Linked DNA regions of Saccharomyces cerevisiae S288C. The gene in region 1 interacts genetically with each later gene. Each region holds a gene or a part of one and is shown on either strand. Other genes may lie near its edges.

The links. A genetic interaction does not mean that the proteins touch.
Region 2: of NTH2 (region 1) and MAL11, changing one enhances a phenotype caused by changing the other (phenotypic enhancement), as found in Saccharomyces cerevisiae (one study listed by BioGRID).

The regions. Positions count from the first base shown.
Region 1 is NC_001134.8:238,414-243,209, reverse strand, and holds NTH2 (alpha,alpha-trehalase NTH2), read left to right. Parts: upstream 1-1,926; coding exon 1,927-4,269; downstream 4,270-4,796. Other genes in the region: COQ1 (trans-hexaprenyltranstransferase), read right to left, coding at 1-401; RER2 (ditrans,polycis-polyprenyl diphosphate synthase), read left to right, coding at 642-1,502.
Region 2 is NC_001139.9:1,073,463-1,077,668, reverse strand, and holds MAL11 (alpha-glucoside permease), read left to right. Parts: upstream 1-1,855; coding exon 1,856-3,706; downstream 3,707-4,206. Other genes in the region: alpha-glucosidase MAL12, read right to left, coding at 1-1,070. UniProt on the Saccharomyces cerevisiae protein: High-affinity uptake of alpha-glucosides such as maltose, turanose, isomaltose, alpha-methylglucoside, maltotriose, palatinose, trehalose, melezitose and glucose. Acts with the concomitant transport of protons into the cell (symport system).

The DNA of each region.
Region 1 (4,796 bases):
GGACGTTGAAATAGTTGATTTTGACTAGGTTTAGAGTAAATTGGGTCCTCAGGAACATCCGACTTGTCAATTTTCAAGTGATTTCTTTCTGTCATGGGAATTTCAGAAAGTGCTCTTGACAACAACAACACTAACAAGGGACGTACTTTTTTGCCTTCTGTTTCAAAATAGTAACTAGTAACCTTGTTTAGCACCGGATGGCCAGACCCGATGAGGGCAACTATATTTTTGGCCAATGTGTTCATCTCCTTCGAGACTAATGATATGGGATTATTCCAAAGAATCTTGGGAGTTACCAACTTACTGGCAGCGTTTAAAGCAACTGCAAAGGAGGATTTAAAGCGGCATCTTCGAGATGAAATCAATTTGATGTGATGAGCAGCGCCAGACCTTTGAAACATCGTCCCACTGTACTCAATTCGGACTGAATGGCACACTTCTTGTGTTGTAGAAAATCTCTATAGATTATAATGTGTCTTACTTTAATCTTCTAATCCCCTAACCCTGTTACCCTCGCTCGGGCTTTTTCCGAAGATGCCAACAAAATGCTTAGAATGAAAAAAAAAAAAATTTTCGTAATAATGACAGGTTTCAATAGAACTTAAGCAGTAAAAATAGGGTAAACACAGGTAAAAGACGGTATGGAAACGGATAGTGGTATACCTGGTCATTCATTTGTGTTAAAGTGGACAAAAAACATCTTTTCGCGCACATTGCGTGCATCTAACTGTGTACCTAGACATGTTGGGTTCATCATGGATGGGAACAGGAGATTCGCTAGAAAGAAAGAGATGGACGTAAAGGAGGGCCACGAGGCAGGATTTGTTAGTATGAGTAGAATCTTAGAACTGTGTTATGAAGCAGGAGTCGATACGGCTACCGTGTTTGCCTTTTCAATTGAAAATTTCAAGAGGAGCTCACGGGAAGTTGAATCACTGATGACTTTAGCGCGCGAAAGGATACGACAAATCACAGAACGTGGAGAGCTGGCCTGTAAGTATGGGGTACGCATTAAAATTATCGGCGATCTCTCTTTGTTGGATAAGTCTCTATTAGAAGATGTTCGGGTTGCTGTGGAAACTACAAAGAACAACAAAAGGGCCACGTTAAATATCTGCTTTCCATATACAGGCAGGGAAGAAATCTTGCATGCCATGAAAGAAACAATTGTTCAACATAAGAAGGGCGCCGCTATAGACGAAAGCACGTTAGAATCGCATCTCTACACGGCGGGGGTACCCCCTTTAGATTTATTGATTAGGACAAGTGGCGTTTCCAGATTAAGTGACTTTTTGATATGGCAGGCATCGAGTAAGGGCGTACGCATCGAATTGCTGGATTGTTTATGGCCAGAGTTTGGACCTATACGGATGGCATGGATTTTATTAAAATTTTCGTTTCACAAATCCTTTTTAAACAAAGAGTACAGATTAGAGGAAGGTGATTATGACGAGGAAACCAATGGGGACCCCATCGATTTGAAAGAAAAAAAGTTGAATTAAGAAAGGTCTGCATTTTTTTCCTACCACATGGCATAGATATTTATAGAGTAATGAGCAAGATAAATGAGTTCGCAAAAGAACATTCAAATAATTAGTAATAAATGAGTAGAAATTCACGCATCTTTATAGAGTTTATAATGCAAATCTCCGCGCGGGGTAATTTGAAGTCCAATTTTTCCGAGCGGCGTGCCAGTTCCACTAAATTATATAAAGCGGATAGGAATTGTAATTACCTCCCAAAGTTAATATTCGACTAATGTATATTTCATATGTTATAGCGCTTGTAGGAACTGTTTTCCATTAAAACTAATATTCTTTATTTCTCAATTTTATTTATTTATTTATATTTTTCCTTTGCAAATATATTTGACGCAGGTTCGGATCAGACATTTGGTATATAAGGAGACCTGCATATACTCAAATAATGGTAGATTTTTTACCAAAAGTAACGGAAATAAATCCTCCATCCGAAGGTAATGATGGTGAAGATAACATAAAGCCACTTTCAAGTGGTTCAGAGCAGCGGCCGTTGAAAGAAGAGGGGCAACAAGGTGGTAGAAGACATCACCGGCGGTTGTCCTCTATGCATGAGTATTTTGACCCGTTTTCCAACGCAGAGGTCTATTATGGACCAATAACAGATCCAAGAAAACAGTCAAAAATTCATAGACTAAATAGAACCAGAACTATGAGTGTTTTCAATAAAGTTTCTGACTTCAAAAACGGAATGAAGGATTATACCCTGAAAAGGAGGGGTTCTGAAGACGACAGCTTCCTCAGCAGCCAAGGTAACCGTAGATTTTATATTGATAATGTGGATCTCGCTTTAGATGAGCTGCTCGCTAGTGAGGACACAGACAAGAATCACCAAATTACCATAGAAGACACTGGGCCCAAAGTTATTAAAGTCGGGACGGCCAATTCCAACGGTTTCAAACATGTAAATGTTAGGGGAACATATATGCTTTCTAACTTGTTGCAGGAACTAACCATTGCAAAAAGTTTCGGACGACACCAAATATTTTTGGATGAGGCGCGTATAAATGAAAACCCTGTTGATAGATTATCAAGATTGATAACGACTCAATTTTGGACGAGTTTAACGAGAAGAGTTGATCTTTATAATATTGCAGAAATTGCTAGAGACTCAAAAATAGATACGCCAGGCGCTAAAAATCCAAGAATTTATGTTCCATATAACTGCCCAGAGCAGTACGAATTTTACATTCAGGCATCTCAAATGAACCCGTCCTTAAAACTTGAAGTGGAGTACTTACCAAAAGATATTACAGCAGAGTATGTTAAATCATTAAATGATACACCGGGTTTGTTAGCCCTGGCTATGGAAGAACACGTTAATCCATCTACTGGTGAAAGGTCCCTAGTTGGTTATCCTTATGCGGTACCTGGCGGTAGATTCAATGAATTGTATGGCTGGGATTCATATTTAATGGCACTGGGACTCATAGAAAGTAATAAGGTTGATGTTGCAAGAGGTATGGTGGAGCATTTTATATTCGAAATTGATCACTATAGTAAAATTTTGAATGCTAATAGGAGTTATTATCTTTGCAGATCTCAGCCACCATTCCTAACCGATATGGCTCTGCTCGTATTTGAAAAGATAGGAGGTAAGAATAATCCAAACGCTATTCAGTTGTTAAAACGCGCGTTCAGAGCTGCTATTAAAGAATATAAAGAGGTGTGGATGTCGAGCCCTAGGTTAGATTCTCTGACAGGGCTGTCTTGTTATCATTCTGATGGTATTGGTATCCCTCCGGAAACTGAACCAGATCATTTTGATACTATATTATTACCGTATGCTGAAAAGTACAATGTTACTCTGGAAAAGCTTAGGTACCTTTATAACGAAGGCATGATTAAAGAACCCAAACTGGATGCATTTTTTTTACATGATCGTGCCGTGAGAGAGTCAGGACATGACACGACTTATAGGTTTGAAGGTGTATGTGCATATTTAGCGACAATTGATCTAAACTCCTTGCTCTATAAATATGAGAAAGATATTGCTTTCGTCATTAAGGAGTATTTTGGTAATGAATATAAAGATGAGAATGATGGAACGGTAACCGATTCTGAACACTGGGAGGAGCTAGCTGAACTGAGGAAAACAAGGATTAATAAGTATATGTGGGACGAAGATTCAGGGTTTTTCTTCTATTATAACACGAAACTGAAATGCAGAACGTCTTATGAGTCTGCAACGACTTTTTGGAGTTTGTGGGCTGGTCTTGCAACTGAAGAGCAAGCAAAAATCACAGTAGAAAAAGCTCTTCCTCAGTTAGAAATGCTCGGCGGACTAGTTGCATGCACAGAAAAATCAAGAGGTCCTATTTCTATTGATAGACCGATCAGGCAATGGGATTATCCTTTTGGTTGGGCGCCGCACCAAATATTAGCCTGGAAAGGTTTATCTGCATATGGTTATCAACAAGTAGCTACAAGATTGGCTTATAGGTGGCTGTACATGATTACAAAATCATTTGTTGATTATAACGGAATGGTGGTAGAAAAATATGATGTGACAAGAGGGACTGATCCGCATCGCGTTGATGCGGAATATGGTAATCAAGGTGCTGATTTTAAGGGCGTCGCTACAGAAGGCTTTGGTTGGGTGAACACAAGTTATTTGCTCGGATTGAAATATATGAATAATCATGCAAGAAGGGCTCTCGCTGCTTGTAGTCCACCATTGCCATTTTTCAATAGTTTGAAACCCTCTGAGAAAAAATTGTATTACCTATAATATTGACGAACATATGTAAATAAGATATATGTTATATTCTTCTTTCTATCAATAACCATGAGATTGTGCCTCAGTAATATTTGAGACGATTTAGAGTAAGGTCAAATATTATTATTAATCAAGTTGTGTAAAGGCTCATTTGTGAAGGTTAGAATAGTAATCGATGATTTTCAAGTAAAAGTGTTTGAAGGGCATTTCAGTAACATCTTCAAACTAGGAGTTTGTTGAGACAAAAAAGTCTGATTTTCATAAGATCATAACTTACGCTTTGAAGATCGTTATGAGTACCTTGTAGCTTGCCAGATCTTCTTGCTTATTCTTAAGCTCTTGGGTAGTACTGTATAAGACTGCTTGACATCGGGAACACTATCATTACCGTGTGATAGAATTCTCGTACCAAGCCGGTTCACCTTTGCGTGGTCTAGTGCATAGGAAGAATGACTAATAGAAAGCTTTCATTTCTATTAGTGTCTTAAATGCGAAGAAGGTATGGGAATCTATTACATACATGAAGAATATAGGATCTG
Region 2 (4,206 bases), on another chromosome or scaffold:
AATCTCGTAATTGACCGGGCTTGATCGTGATTCTCGATGTAGGTGGTAGCCCAACTATCAGTACCGTTAATGAACAAAAAGTTCGATGCAATGGCTTCTTTCCATTGTTTCAAGGTGAAGGGCACTATGTTATAACGGAAAAATGGCGAGGTACCAACTTCAACGTGCGTGAAGGAGAAAACTTCGCTGACTTCGTATCTAGCTGCACTGGTGTATAAAGCATTATCACTTCCATGGGCAACTTCACCGACTGTCATTATTTCTCTACCATCTTTCACCCTGTTTTTCATAAATCTGTGTAGTTCTTGATGATATTCATGAATCCTAGGACCATTGTGAGACCCCCAATTTGGATGTTGTAATTTCGAGGTTTTGTCAAAAATTGGGGAATCTGGTAAACCAGGACGTTTCGAATACAAACCAGCGGTATCGATTCTAAAACCATCTACACCATGGTCCAGCCAAAATCCAACAGCACTTTCAAAGATTGCCCTTCTGCAGTCTTCATTCTCCCAATTCAAGTCAACTTGACGACTCGCAAACAAACGGAGGTAAAATTCATTTGTAGTTTCATCAAAAGTCCAAGCTGAACCACCAAAGAAAGATTTCCAATTGTTTGGAGGAATTGGCTTGCCTTCGGCGTCATAACCCTTAGGAGGTCTCCAGAAGAACCAGTCACGCTTCGGATTGGTCTTCGAGGATCTGCTCTCTTTGAACCATTCGTGTTCTGTAGAACAGTGGTTGATAACCAAATCGGTGATGAATTTCATACCCAGCTTATGAGTCTTGTCAATTAGCTCAAAACAGTCCTCATTGGTACCATATGTGGGCCAGACCTTTTCGTAGTTGGATATATCATACCCCATATCTTGTTGAGGAGAGTCATAAAACGGACAAACCCAAATAGCATCAACGCCAAGATCTTTAATATACTGCAACTTGGAAGTGATACCTTTTAAATCACCCCAGCCATCGTTATTGGAGTCTTTAAAACTTGCTGGGTAAATTTGATAGATTGTGGCCTCTTTCCACCACTTTGGTTCTGTTTCTGGATGATCAGAAATAGTCATTTATGTAATTTAGTTACGCTTGACTGATGTACATTTGAGATTATCAAAAAAACTGCTTAAGAGATGGATGATTTAATTTTTTAGAGACGTATTAATGGAACTTTTTATACCTTGCCCAGAGCGCCTCAAGAAAATGATGCTGCAAGAAGAATTGAGGAAGGAACTATTCATCTTACGTTGTTTGTATCATCCCACGATCCAAATCATGTTACCTACGTTAGGTACGCTAGGAACTAAAAAAAGAAAAGAAAAGTATGCGTTATCACTCTTCGAGCCAATTCTTAATTGTGTGGGGTCCGCGAAAATTTCCGGATAAATCCTGTAAACTTTAACTTAAACCCCGTGTTTAGCGAAATTTTCAACGAAGCGCGCAATAAGGAGAAATATTATCTAAAAGCGAGAGTTTAAGCGAGTTGCAAGAATCTCTACGGTACAGATGCAACTTACTATAGCCAAGGTCTATTCGTATTACTATGGCAGCGAAAGGAGCTTTAAGGTTTTAATTACCCCATAGCCATAGATTCTACTCGGTCTATCTATCATGTAACACTCCGTTGATGCGTACTAGAAAATGACAACGTACCGGGCTTGAGGGACATACAGAGACAATTACAGTAATCAAGAGTGTACCCAACTTTAACGAACTCAGTAAAAAATAAGGAATGTCGACATCTTAATTTTTTATATAAAGCGGTTTGGTATTGATTGTTTGAAGAATTTTCGGGTTGGTGTTTCTTTCTGATGCTACATAGAAGAACATCAAACAACTAAAAAAATAGTATAATATGAAAAATATCATTTCATTGGTAAGCAAGAAGAAGGCTGCCTCAAAAAATGAGGATAAAAACATTTCTGAGTCTTCAAGAGATATTGTAAACCAACAGGAGGTTTTCAATACTGAAGATTTTGAAGAAGGGAAAAAGGATAGTGCCTTTGAGCTAGACCACTTAGAGTTCACCACCAATTCAGCCCAGTTAGGAGATTCTGACGAAGATAACGAGAATGTGATTAATGAGATGAACGCTACTGATGATGCAAATGAAGCTAACAGCGAGGAAAAAAGCATGACTTTGAAGCAGGCGTTGCTAAAATATCCAAAAGCAGCCCTGTGGTCCATATTAGTGTCTACTACCCTGGTTATGGAAGGTTATGATACCGCACTACTGAGCGCACTGTATGCCCTGCCAGTTTTTCAGAGAAAATTCGGTACTTTGAACGGGGAGGGTTCTTACGAAATTACTTCCCAATGGCAGATTGGTTTAAACATGTGTGTCCTTTGTGGTGAGATGATTGGTTTGCAAATCACGACTTATATGGTTGAATTTATGGGGAATCGTTATACGATGATTACAGCACTTGGTTTGTTAACTGCTTATATCTTTATCCTCTACTACTGTAAAAGTTTAGCTATGATTGCTGTGGGACAAATTCTCTCAGCTATACCATGGGGTTGTTTCCAAAGTTTGGCTGTTACTTATGCTTCGGAAGTTTGCCCTTTAGCATTAAGATATTACATGACCAGTTACTCCAACATTTGTTGGTTATTTGGTCAAATCTTCGCCTCTGGTATTATGAAAAACTCACAAGAGAATTTAGGGAACTCCGACTTGGGCTATAAATTGCCATTTGCTTTACAATGGATTTGGCCTGCTCCTTTAATGATCGGTATCTTTTTCGCTCCTGAGTCGCCCTGGTGGTTGGTGAGAAAGGATAGGGTCGCTGAGGCAAGAAAATCTTTAAGCAGAATTTTGAGTGGTAAAGGCGCCGAGAAGGACATTCAAGTTGATCTTACTTTAAAGCAGATTGAATTGACTATTGAAAAAGAAAGACTTTTAGCATCTAAATCAGGATCATTCTTTAATTGTTTCAAGGGAGTTAATGGAAGAAGAACGAGACTTGCATGTTTAACTTGGGTAGCTCAAAATAGTAGCGGTGCCGTTTTACTTGGTTACTCGACATATTTTTTTGAAAGAGCAGGTATGGCCACCGACAAGGCGTTTACTTTTTCTCTAATTCAGTACTGTCTTGGGTTAGCGGGTACACTTTGCTCCTGGGTAATATCTGGCCGTGTTGGTAGATGGACAATACTGACCTATGGTCTTGCATTTCAAATGGTCTGCTTATTTATTATTGGTGGAATGGGTTTTGGTTCTGGAAGCAGCGCTAGTAATGGTGCCGGTGGTTTATTGCTGGCTTTATCATTCTTTTACAATGCTGGTATCGGTGCAGTTGTTTACTGTATCGTTGCTGAAATTCCATCAGCGGAGTTGAGAACTAAGACTATAGTGCTGGCCCGTATTTGCTACAATCTCATGGCCGTTATTAACGCTATATTAACGCCCTATATGCTAAACGTGAGCGATTGGAACTGGGGTGCCAAAACTGGTCTATACTGGGGTGGTTTCACAGCAGTCACTTTAGCTTGGGTCATCATCGATCTGCCTGAGACAACTGGTAGAACCTTCAGTGAAATTAATGAACTTTTCAACCAAGGGGTTCCTGCCAGAAAATTTGCATCTACTGTGGTTGATCCATTCGGAAAGGGAAAAACTCAACATGATTCGCTAGCTGATGAGAGTATCAGTCAGTCCTCAAGCATAAAACAGCGAGAATTAAATGCAGCTGATAAATGTTAAGTAAAAGGGTTGTTTTTTTTTTTTTGGAAGAAATAAGGAATCCCTTTGACTGCTCCCAAAACCCTCAGCTAGCTCGAGATTTTATATATATACATTTTTTATTTTTCTGTAAAACATTCATATTTACCATTTTTTAAGCAAAATATTGTTAGTAGTTAGTTAAAATAGCCCAAGCAGCAATCAAGCAAATATGAGAGTACTTTTTCTTTAGCACCTGGTACTTGTGCCTGGATATTGATTCGAACAACATGCCAGGTCAACCGTATTCTCAATTAACTGTTACTTTAAATGTCCATACACTTAATAAAAAGAAGGAGAGAATCACGCAAAAATCACATTAAACTATATTATAATGTTTTATGAAGTATTTTTGAAGCATTAATGTGAGAGCTTATAGAGATACGACATTCATAATTCAATGCTTTATTGGGATATACTATGCATATTCTATATGGTTCATGAAATATCTCAAAACATATCACATAGTTTCACAATCGCTT